3 linked regions of the Mus musculus genome follow. The protein of the gene in region 1 interacts with the protein of each later gene in a pairwise test. Links are inferred from orthologs where the notes say so. Each region holds a gene or a part of one and is shown in the gene's direction. Other genes may lie near its edges.

The links. The genes of interacting proteins can lie anywhere in the genome.
Region 2: the proteins of Sp4 (region 1) and Nrf1 interact in binary tests that used the Homo sapiens proteins (3 or more experiments, as listed by UniProt). The two-hybrid records come from large-scale screens. The link is inferred for Mus musculus from reciprocal best matches to the Homo sapiens genes SP4 and NRF1.
Region 3: the proteins of Sp4 (region 1) and Pou2f1 interact in binary tests that used the Homo sapiens proteins (3 or more experiments, as listed by UniProt). The two-hybrid records come from large-scale screens. The link is inferred for Mus musculus from reciprocal best matches to the Homo sapiens genes SP4 and POU2F1.

What each region holds. Positions count from the first base shown.
Region 1 is NC_000078.6:118,298,641-118,302,878, reverse strand, and holds the start of Sp4 (transcription factor Sp4), read left to right. Parts: upstream 1-1,438; 5' UTR 1,439-1,645; coding exon 1,646-1,652; intron 1,653-2,070; coding exon 2,071-2,180; intron 2,181-2,686; coding exon 2,687-4,238. UniProt on the Homo sapiens protein: Binds to GT and GC boxes promoters elements. Probable transcriptional activator.
Region 2 is NC_000072.6:30,113,988-30,117,504, forward strand, and holds part of Nrf1 (nuclear respiratory factor 1), read left to right. Parts: intron 1-1,025; coding exon 1,026-1,184; intron 1,185-2,108; coding exon 2,109-2,306; intron 2,307-3,068; coding exon 3,069-3,170; intron 3,171-3,517. UniProt on the Homo sapiens protein: Transcription factor that activates the expression of the EIF2S1 (EIF2-alpha) gene. Links the transcriptional modulation of key metabolic genes to cellular growth and development.
Region 3 is NC_000067.6:165,908,618-165,912,134, reverse strand, and holds part of Pou2f1 (POU domain, class 2, transcription factor 1), read left to right. Parts: intron 1-658; coding exon 659-847; intron 848-3,128; coding exon 3,129-3,255; intron 3,256-3,517. UniProt on the Homo sapiens protein: Transcription factor that binds to the octamer motif (5'-ATTTGCAT-3') and activates the promoters of the genes for some small nuclear RNAs (snRNA) and of genes such as those for histone H2B and immunoglobulins.

The sequences.
Region 1 (4,238 bases):
TTTTTAGGGACTTATTTCCAGCTTTGGTACACTTCATCAGTCGCTCATATGGTCGGTCCCTGGTATCTTGATTTCATGTCTTTGGAGAGAAGCTAGGGGCCGGTTCAGGAGCATTTGACAAAGTGCTTTGCGCAGCTAGCTGTGAATTCCACTTGCCTAGAAGCTTACGCTAAAACCATGACCAGAGCTGACCCACATGCAGCCAGGCTTTCCTTTGCCCGGACAACCTTGTGAGACCTCTAGGAGCGAGAAGCGCGCCAAGAACGCAGACTCTAAGGCGCACTCGTGGCCACCCTAGAAGACAAGTCACTAATCTGCACCAGCAGCCAGCCAGAGATACGACAAATAAAATGGAAGCTCCTGCTCGGTGGGAACACAGGCCTCGCGCTGAGACCGGAGGCCCCGGCAAGCTAGGTGAGCAAAGAAAGCAGGGCGAAGGGGATGTACCCCAAGTCAGCTTCATTCAAACCCCGAGGACACCAGACCCCGCCTCCCAACACCTCGGTCCGCTCAATCGCCGCGCGCTCCGGGTGTGAGCTCGCCCCGCGGGGAGCGGCTTTCAGCTGAGGGGGCGGTGGCAGAGGCGGTTCGGGCAGCCCCACTCGGCCGATAGGCCCAGGCAAACAACACCCATTTCTCCCTCCCCCCCGCGCGGGGTTCAACTCCCACTCGGCCCCGGCCACGCCCTGCTGCCACCGCCCCCTCGGGCAGCTCTAGGCTCCGCAGCCAGGCCGCGTTCGGGGGCGGGAGGAAGGCGGTGCCTCAATCGGAATAGCCGTCAAAAACTACGAGGCCCGAAAGCCTTTGCGGGAGAGGCCCGCCCGCCTCCTCCCACGACTCACTGTGCGTCAGCGGCCTCATCCAATGAGAGCCGAGCCAGGGAAAAAGGGCGCCCGGGTCCGGATGCGCCTTAGGAAAAGCCATGCTCACGCCGAGGGGGCAGCTGGCAGTCCACTCAGACCACGGGATCGCAGGGAGCTCACGCTTCCCCGCGCTCGCCCCGCTCCTCTCCCTTAAGCCTAGCTCCATGTCTTCCTTCCGCGGCCCCTCGCAGGATGCTGCGGCGCGCTTTTGAGTGGAGGGCGCCGGGAACTGAGTAGGGGGCGGGATATCCTGAGACAACAAGTTTGGCTGTATGGAGGGCCTGCCGGCAGCAAACCGCAGCTAGCTCACCGAGAGGGCACGCTCCGCGGGCCGGGAAGGCAGAAGCCGAACAGCAGCGAGCACCAGCCGGGCAAAGGGGAGGAGAAAGGGCGGCCCCAGCGCCCCGGCCCCGGCAGGTCGGCGGCCAATCCGCTGGGGGAAGGGGTGGAGAGTCGGCGGCGCCGGCGGAGGCAGGCCGAGGGGGGTGGGGAGTCGCCGCGCTCGCGCCGCCCTGGCTCCGCCCCCCGGCCCGCGCCGCCGCCCTCGCCGCGCGCCGCCGCTGTCAATCAAGGGCGAGTCAGCCGGGCTCGGGCGGAGAGAGGAGCTGCTACGCCACAGCCCAGCGGCGGCCATTCGCGGAAAAAGAGGCAGAGCCTGTGCCAGCTACAGCCTCCTCCGAGCCACCGCGGGCGGGCGGGACCGGCCTCTCCTCCCGCCTCGCCCCCACCCCCACCCACCTCTATCCCAGTGTCTCTGAGAGGGTTTGTCCTGTTAATGCGGGATGAGCGGTACGTATTCTCCACCCCCCTCGGTCTCCTTCACCGCCTCCCTTCGTCCCTCCCTCCCCAGACCCTGCTCGCTTCCCCCTCCCCCGGGGCCGCCGAGATGCTGGAAGGGGAGGAGGAGAGGGCGGGAGGGAACCAGGGGGAGGGAAGGAGGGCTGTGTTTTGTCTTAATGTCTGAGCTAGAACAACCTCCTTCTGGGTGTTGCTCTGGAGCCTATGGGTCGGGTTTCAAACCACGTTTCGTGAGAGCCCCCTCCTCCCTACCCTCCTTCTCCCCCACCCCCTGCCGGTGTGCACGGATCGCGGGTTTACGGAGATTAATGTTCAAGAGGAGGGAGGGGGAAGAAGGGAGGAGAACGAATAATAATAATCCTAATAACCTGTTGTCGTGTGTGTTGGTGGTGGTGGGGGGTTGTTGCAGATCAGAAGAAGGAGGAGGAGGAGGAGGCGGCAGCGGCGATGGCTACAGAAGGAGGGAAAACCTCTGAGCCAGAGAATAACAATAAAAAACCCAAAACCTCAGGCTCCCAGGTAAAAGCAAACGTTAAAAGAAAATTCAACACAAAGCTTTAGGGAAGAGAGGGAGTTATGCTCTTTAAGTACCCAGAAGTAAAGAACAGAATAAAAATGTTTATCCATTCAAAGCATCTTTCTGAGTGAGGAACTTAAATCGTAAATTCTTGAAGATTTCCCATCGTTGAGGCTATAACGATGTTTATATTACACCAGGAATTCAGACTGTTAGAAGAAGGTGTCTATTTTCCCAAGGGCATTTTGAGTTTAGAAGAATAACACTTTAAGAAAGTTTACCAGAAAATTCCTTTTTATTTAAACTTTATGTAATAGGACTTGCCTTTTTATTCATATAGCTTCTATCACCTGCTTTTGTTCATATTTCCTTTTTAATTCTGCTGCCTATTGAGTGTGTTCTGATACTTAGAGCTCTCAAAATAAATAACCCCCTCCCGACTGCTGTCTTCCACTAAATCCGCCCACTTTTTTCCCCTCCCTCTCCTTTCCCCTCCCATTTTGGGTAGGACTCTCAGCCCTCTCCTCTGGCTTTACTGGCAGCTACTTGCAGCAAAATAGGGACTCCTGGTGAAAATCAAGCAACTGGACAACAGCAGATTATTATAGATCCAAGCCAAGGATTGGTGCAACTTCAGAATCAGCCACAGCAGCTAGAACTGGTGACGACGCAGCTTGCTGGAAACGCTTGGCAACTTGTTGCCTCCACTCCTCCTGCTTCAAAAGAAAATAACGTTTCTCAGCCAGCTTCTAGTTCATCTAGTTCTTCCAGCAGTAATAACGGGAGTTCCTCTCCTACAAAAACTAAATCAGGTAATCCTTCCACCCCTAATCAATTTCAAGTCATACAAGTACAAAACCCAAGCGGTAGTGTACAGTACCAAGTGATCCCCCAACTTCAGACGGTGGAAGGCCAGCAAATTCAAATCAACCCAACTAGTAGTTCATCTCTACAGGATTTGCAGGGTCAAATTCAGCTCATTTCTGCAGGTAATAATCAAGCTATCCTCACGGCTGCTAACAGGACAGCTTCTGGGAATATCCTTGCTCAAAACCTGGCAAATCAGACAGTTCCAGTACAAATTAGACCTGGCGTTTCAATACCATTGCAATTGCAGACCCTTCCTGGTACTCAGGCTCAAGTTGTAACAACCCTACCAATTAACATTGGAGGAGTGACTTTAGCTTTGCCAGTAATAAATAACGTGACTGCTGGAGGAGGGACTGGACAAGTCGGCCAGCCTACTACTACTACTGACAGTGGGACTTCCAATGGGAATCAGTTAGTTTCTACGCCCACCACCAGCACTGCTCCCGCCAGTACTATGCCTGAATCGCCCTCCTCCTCTACTACCTGCACAACCACCGCATCAACAACTCTGACGAGCAGTGACACATTAGTGAGCTCAGCAGATACAGGCCAGTATGCAAGCACATCAGCCAGTAGTTCTGAACGCACCATTGAAGAACCACAGACACCTGCTGCTACTGAGTCTGAAGCCCAGAGCTCCAGCCAGCTTCAGTCCAACGGAATTCAGAATGCACAAGACCAGTCAAATTCCCTTCAACAAGTACAGATTGTAGGCCAGCCTATCCTGCAGCAAATCCAGATCCAGCAGCCTCAGCAGCAGATTATTCAAGCTATCCCACCACAGTCATTTCAGCTCCAGTCAGGGCAGACAATTCAGACCATCCAGCAGCAGCCTTTGCAGAATGTTCAACTTCAAGCAGTAAACCCGACTCAGGTACTTATCAGGGCTCCAACTTTAACACCTTCAGGGCAAATCAGCTGGCAAACTGTCCAGGTCCAGAATATTCAAAGTCTTTCAAATTTGCAAGTTCAGAATGCTGGGTTATCCCAGCAGTTAACCATCACCCCAGTGTCTTCAAGTGGTGGCACAACTCTTGCTCAGATTGCTCCTGTGGCTGTTGCTGGTGCCCCAATAACTTTGAATACTGCCCAGCTTGCATCAGTGCCTAACCTTCAGACAGTGAGCGTTGCCAACCTGGGTGCTGCGGGTGTTCAAGTTCAGGGAGTTCCAGTAACAATCACTAGTGTTG
Region 2 (3,517 bases), on another chromosome or scaffold:
AAGTGTTGGCATACTCATTCACTGCAGCTTAATCCTTAAGTATCCCCTAGCATTTTTGCTTTACCGTTTAGTTACAGCCATCGCCAAGTCCTTGATTCCAACTCCTTGCTCAAAATGTTCCTCTCCCTCTGGTTTTACAGTGCAAAGGCAGCACAGATGTGTTCTTGATAGGTACATGATCTAAGGTTTAAACTTGATAAACTGCTTTTCTTGCCCCAAATCATCAAACGTGCTGAAGAATATTCACTCCACAGACCTACTGTCTTCCTACATGCGTACACTGGTTCCTGTGCCAGGAAATGTGAGTCAGTATGTCAGCTGACTGTGGTTTAAGCCTGGTTTGGCTTCAGTTAGCTTCCCAAAATCAAGCTGAGTGAAGTCCATAATGTATTTCATATAGATGTTGCTCCATCTGCATCCAAGCCTCTTACTGCTGCTTCCAAGGAACTTGGAATAACTCTTGGGTTAGTTTCACCTTACTAAATGGAAAAGCAATTTCTTTTAACATCTTATACACATCTACCTCTTCATGGATATAATCCACCTTTTAGTGATTGTGGTATTTTTCGCCTGCTTCTCTGGAGGTCCTGCTCCAGTCATCTTGGTTCCAGATAACAGTGGTTCAACCTGCTACTCACATCTAGTCTACTTGAGTACCACCTCCAAAACAGTGTTAGCAGCACCTTGACGTGGACCCTTAACTCATGGAAGTTATAGAAGGAAAATCAGCCCTTAGTGTAGTAGTGTCTCTGGAGGCACAAATCATGTTTGGAGATAGGCATTGTTGTCCTTTTAAGAACAAGCCTACAAAATGTAGCTCCTATAATCATCAGGAGTGCCCTCCTTTAGTTGGCCATGGGGCAGAAGTAACTGTAGGAAGCAGTGAGCTCTCGGCAGTCCCATTTGGAACTTTCTGGACTTTTAGGGGTGCTCCCTGCTTGTTGGTCTTAGGGGTGTGGAGTCCAGGTGCACATCCCATGTGTTGGTCATGAGATCACTATGATGACCATGCTCTTGTCTTTCAGGCTCAGCTTCGGGCATTTATCCCAGAGATGCTCAAGTATTCCACAGGTCGGGGGAAACCAGGCTGGGGGAAAGAAAGCTGCAAGCCTATCTGGTGGCCAGAAGATATCCCATGGGCCAATGTCCGCAGTGATGTCCGCACAGAAGAGCAAAAACAAAGGGTACATTCCTCAGTCCTCATTAGTTTGCCATGCTGGGTCACCCGCCTCAGTTTCTGTTGGTACAAGTTTCATACCATTTCATAACAGTCAGGCCTCTTCCTCCAAAAAAGTCGGTTGTTCTCTGATATACAGTCCTTCTTGTTTATTACTGTACACAGAAAGATTTGGAAAGGCTGTGGATTTATACTTTGTTTCTTCATAGATGTCTTTTGTAAAAGCTTTAAACCAGAGAAACTTGGAAGTAAGAATCATTTGAAAGCTTAGAAATAGCCTTGCTTCTGATTAGCAAGAACTACTGTTGAGCGGTTTGGTGGCACATTCTGTAATGCTAGCACTCAGCAGGCCAGCGCATGGAATCTCTAGTTTGAGGCCAGCCTGGACAACATAATGAGTTCTAGACCAAACCTACCTGAAAACAAAAAACAGACAAACAAAACAAATCACTAGAGAGTTAGTTGAGTGGTTAAGACAGCTTGCTGTTTTTGCAGAAGACCTGAGTTCAATTCCCAGCACTCATGTCGGGTGACTTACAACCACACGTAACTCTAGTTACAGGGATCCAACTCTCTTCTGGCTGCCATGGGCACCGTCACACATGTAGGATACACTCACACAGACACACCCAGATAATATACATACATACAAAGAGACATAATACATACTTCTTGATCAGAGTGTTACCTCTTATGAGAAATTGGAGAGTTTGGCCTCAGTTTGGAATAGGACACAAAAGCAAAATCCGAACTTGGTTAGGAAGGAAGGACAGAAAACCATCAGTTGCTTTGCTCCAGAATAATTCTGTGGGAAGTCCTAAAAAACTAACTCTATACGAGGTTTGATAAATACATGCCTGATTCTCCTGTGGTGGCATAAATCCCCAATTTCTTTGTGGCTTATTATGCTTTCCTGTTGTTTTGATGACAGGTTTCATGGACCCAGGCATTACGGACCATAGTTAAAAATTGCTATAAGCAACATGGGCGGGAGGATCTTTTATATGCTTTTGAAGATCAGCAAACACAAACTCAGGCCACCACCACACACAGTATAGCTCATCTCGTACCATCACAGACCGTAGTACAGACCTTCAGCAACCCTGATGGCACCGTGTCGCTCATCCAGGTATGTAAGCCTGATGTCTCAGGGGAGGTGGCTCGGTGCTATCTCACCTCTAATGGAGAAGTTTCCTGTGTTCATGCTCTCTTCTCTGCACATCCTAACAGCTGCTCTCGCTCTCGCTCTTCCTGCCTAGCAGTCGCTTCCAAACAGTTTCATTTATTTTTTATTTCATTTTCTTGTGCTGCTTGGAATGGGAAAGTCCTCACCCACATGGCCACATCTTATCTCCAGCCTTTGAACCATATTTTACATTGCATGTGCTTTATTTAATTCAGAGCTATAAGTAGCTTCTGGAACATTTCCAAACAAAGCACCTGAAAATTGTTTCTTGGGTTAGGGTCCAATTAAATAGTAGAATGCTCGCCTATCATGTAGAAGACCATCACCTTCAATCCCCATCATCTGGAGAGAGAAACAGAGAGGAGGATTTTGGAGGAAGGAGGAAGGGAGAAAGACAGATAGGTGTGTACCTGCCAGAGAAATACCTTTTCTAAGGTGGAACACTGTTTATTGACAGATGAGGAATCTCTAAAGTTCAGGTTGGGGTTAGAGTGTAGAGTGTTGGTTGACTGGCACCAAACTCCAGAGTGGAATGCAGTTATTCTTCTAATATTGGTTCACGCTAGTCTCTGAGAGCTGATTTAGTCATTCTCTTCCTGTCAGGAGGCATATTATGCAGAATTTGGGGCTCAGCGAGTCTTAGCTTATGTGTGAGGGCTAGGTAGAAGGTCTGTCTACTGGCATTTAACTTCCTGTGTTTCCTAGGTTGGTACAGGGGCAACAGTAGCCACATTGGCTGATGCTTCAGAACTGCCAACCACAGTCACTGTTGCCCAAGTGAATTACTCTGCTGTGGCTGATGGAGAGGTAAGAAAAGGGTTTCTGTATTTCCCTACTGGAGTAGTGCATGAATGAGTAGGAAGAAGTCAGGCCCAGAAGACGAAGGAGCAGCCTTGCAATATGTGAAACTTTTAGTATTTATCCAACCATGACAATTTGGAGAAGTATCTAATATTGTGTTAATTGTAATAATTAAAATTCATGGATCACTACTGCCCAAACCAACCTGTTAGAAACTTAGAATTTCACATTTGTAATATAGTATTTAATATAAAACATAATAAAGGGATTTTCTCTTTCATATTTTTACAAGAAAGGCCATTTGAGGGCTCCAATGCTTAGTATAGGCAATCTCCATAGTTGCAAAAAGGTTA
Region 3 (3,517 bases), on another chromosome or scaffold:
ATGTTTGTTCTAAATACATTTCTTGCTTTATTGTTAGGGTTTGGGTTTTGGTGATTAGTGTCTAGGATAGATAGATAGATGGGCACTTGGAATTCCAGGTTCATGTACCTTGAAGACTATTAATTCTGGGTGTTTAGATTCATTTGTGTTTAAGAGGGTGGCTCTTACCACCTGTTTCCTAGAGATAATAAGTTGGAAAAAAATGTAAACTTGCAAACCAATGCTTTTCAAGGGCAGGAGATTGGGTAAGGGAGGGTCCTGGAGGAGGATTTTTAAAGGAAACAAGTGTGGCTCCTGATTTTTAGTCACATGTGAAGATGTGATGGAAGTAGTGAAATACGATGGGGATTCAAGCAGCTGGGCCTTACCAGTTCTCTTCCTGCACCTGCCAGCATCCTTTTGTCCCTCATTCATCACCTGCTGTTGGATATAAATGTCTTTGCATCCTGTCAGCATCAGTCCTTTGTTTTCATTCCTTGTCTAAATGATTGTTCAAGTCTGAAGTGCAGACTACTTTAAGTTAAATGCTGTGGTAGAACAGGTAGTTTGTTCATTGGTGGACAGGTTAGCTGTACATTGACCAGTAGTGAGAACCTAATCCCACTTGAGTTACCTATTTAAAGGCACTCAATCTTTCCCTTCATTGTTCTTACTCTAGCTCACGTTGACCCCAGCCCAGCAACAGTTACTGCTACAGCAGGCGCAGGCCCAGGCCCAGCTCCTGGCCGCTGCAGTGCAGCAACACTCCGCCAGCCAACAGCACAGTGCTGCTGGGGCCACCATCTCAGCCTCCGCCGCCACACCCATGACGCAGATCCCCCTGTCTCAGCCCATACAGATTGCACAGGTGAGGAAGGGAAGAGCAAGGTTACTGGGACAGCAAACAGCCAATAAAATGGGAAATTCTCTTCCATATTGTTAGCCTTCTGGTTGCTGCTGTGGGTCTTTAAACACCCAAGGAACTCTGGTTCAAGGTGGCATTATCGCTTCTTCCCTTTTGCTTATTTGAGTTGATATTATAAACATCTAGCTGGTTATTTGAATAAGTGAATGTTTATGTTAAATGAAATTCTTGAGTAAGTAGCTGGCATATTTCTGAGGCAAGGGGTTTCAGTATTCATCTTAATTCATCTTATTAGCCAATCATAGCAGGCAAAAATTCTTCCATGTGCTCTATAGTAAGTGTTGCCACCTTGTAAAAAAAGACAGCAAGTCATCTTTCTGCTGTGGAGTGACTAGGACCATGGAGAACTGCATTAAAATGTTACAGGGTTTCAGTTTTTACGTTTTCAAATAAAATATCCAAAGGTAGTTTAAAAATTACTTAGAGTCATAAAGAATTATAACAAAAGAGAAAATATGTGACCTTGTTTCTCTCAAGGGAGGGACAGGGAGCCTGAGAAGTTGATGTAGCAGAAGCAGGGTAACAGTCTAAGCAGAGTAACTCCTCCTTCTGTCCCCAGGGAGGGGGTGCTGAAGGTGTGACACAGTTTGACGAGATACTTGAAATAGACTCAGACTGATTTTTATTATTACTGTGTGGACATCTGTATCAAGATAGTGTTTTGATTTGGGCCATTTTCTTCATCAAATAAATTATGTTAGTGCCTAAACTTTGAGACTTTACCTGAAATTAATATAAATAGAATGATTTATATGAAGGCATTGAAAAATGTAAGATACTAGAGCCAATATAAAGCTGTATTGTTTTGTTATATCTGACTTTTATGTGAATTTTTAAAATAACTTAACATCAATTCCTAAATTGAATTGGATAAGCTGGTGTCAAATTTCAGGAATCAAATCTTTTATTTTATTGATGGAAATTTTGTTATATCACTCAATTTTTACTTTAGAAAAAAAAATGGAAGCCAGGTGGCACACGCCTTTAATCCCAGCACTTGGGAGGCAGAGACAGGCGGATTTCTGAGTTTGAGGCCAGCCTGGTCTACAGAGTGAGTTCCAGGGCAGCCAGGGCTACACAGAGAAACCCTGTCTTGAAAAAATAAACAAAAACAAAATAAAAAACAAAATAAAAAAAAATGGGTCAAATATTCAAATCCCTTTTTCCTCACTTAATTTTTCAGGAACATTTAGTCTTTGTTTAGATCAGAGCTAAATGAACAGAACTTATAGAATGAATGCATATTAATTTATTAGCATTTATTAGAGTAGTTTACAGGCTATGGTCTGGCTAGTCCAATGATGGTGGTCTTTCAGTTCATGCAGCTGGATGTCTTAGCTAGTCTTTATTCCGTCTTGAACTCTTCTATTACCAGCAGAGGAATTCCTCAGCAACAGGATAGATGAATATAACCAGAGGGAAAGAGCACAGAGACAGGAAGCAAAAGGGTCCTTCTTCCCTGTTCCTTTATGTGGGCTATCAGCAGAAGGCACAGGCCAGATTGAGCATGGGTCTTCCCAGCTCAGATGAGCCGATCAAGAAGAGCTCTCAGAGGCATGCACAGATGCTCGCATTTTAGTTGATGCCAGAGGCGGGCAGGTTGCCATCCAAGGTTACCTATCTCAGTGGTGGCAGGTGGAAGTAGAGAGTTAACTCCAGACTTGTCTTCTGATCTCCACATGCATGTGTGGCTTACACAAACCTCATCACACACTAATAACAATAAAACTAAAATTGAAAACTGCCTCCCCCAGAACATTTATTCTCTATTCATTTATTCTGAAAGTATTTTAGGTAACCATTGAAAATTGGGCTTAACACAATCATGATTCTATATAATATACATCATAACCTCAAAAATAACTTCTTGCAGAGGCCCTAAGTTTTTTCAGTTTTGTTTTTGATAATTGCTGTTTGTGTGTGTAAATCAAAACAATTCTCAGGAGTCAGTTCTCTCCTTCCACCGTGGGTCTGAAGATCACACTTAGGTCTTCAGTCTTGCACAGCGAGCACTCCTACCTACTGAGCCTTCTCTGGCCTGAGGCCTGAGCATTTCTCACACACTGACACTGTTGGAAGCCACACTGTTGGGACATGAAAAAAAGCTGAGTATTGTCTCATTGTTATTTGATGTGACACAAGTCTTTGCCTAGGAACCTTACGACTAATCCAGCTTTCATTTCAGGATCTCTCTCTAATCTGTGTTTTGCTTCTGAGCCTTTAGGATCTTCAACAATTGCAACAGCTTCAGCAGCAAAATCTCAACTTGCAACAGTTTGTGTTGGTGCACCCAACCACCAACCTGCAACCAGCACAGTTTATCATCTCACAGACCCCCCAGGGCCAGCAGGGTAAGCGTCTCTCTAAAGCTCCTCAGTGGTGCAACAGGGCTGTGCACTTTGACCTAACAGTGTCCATTCGAGCAGTGCTTTCATTCAGTGTGGTTTCAAACTACCAGTATTGATGAGAACTATAACAGTGCCTTAAATCAGGAACATGGTTACATATAAGAATAAAAGACCTGAAAAACCAGTAAAGGCTAGCTTACTAAAGGAAATTTCCAGGACTTTAACCTGAAATCATGCAACTTAATTGTTTCCAAGGCTCAGTTTA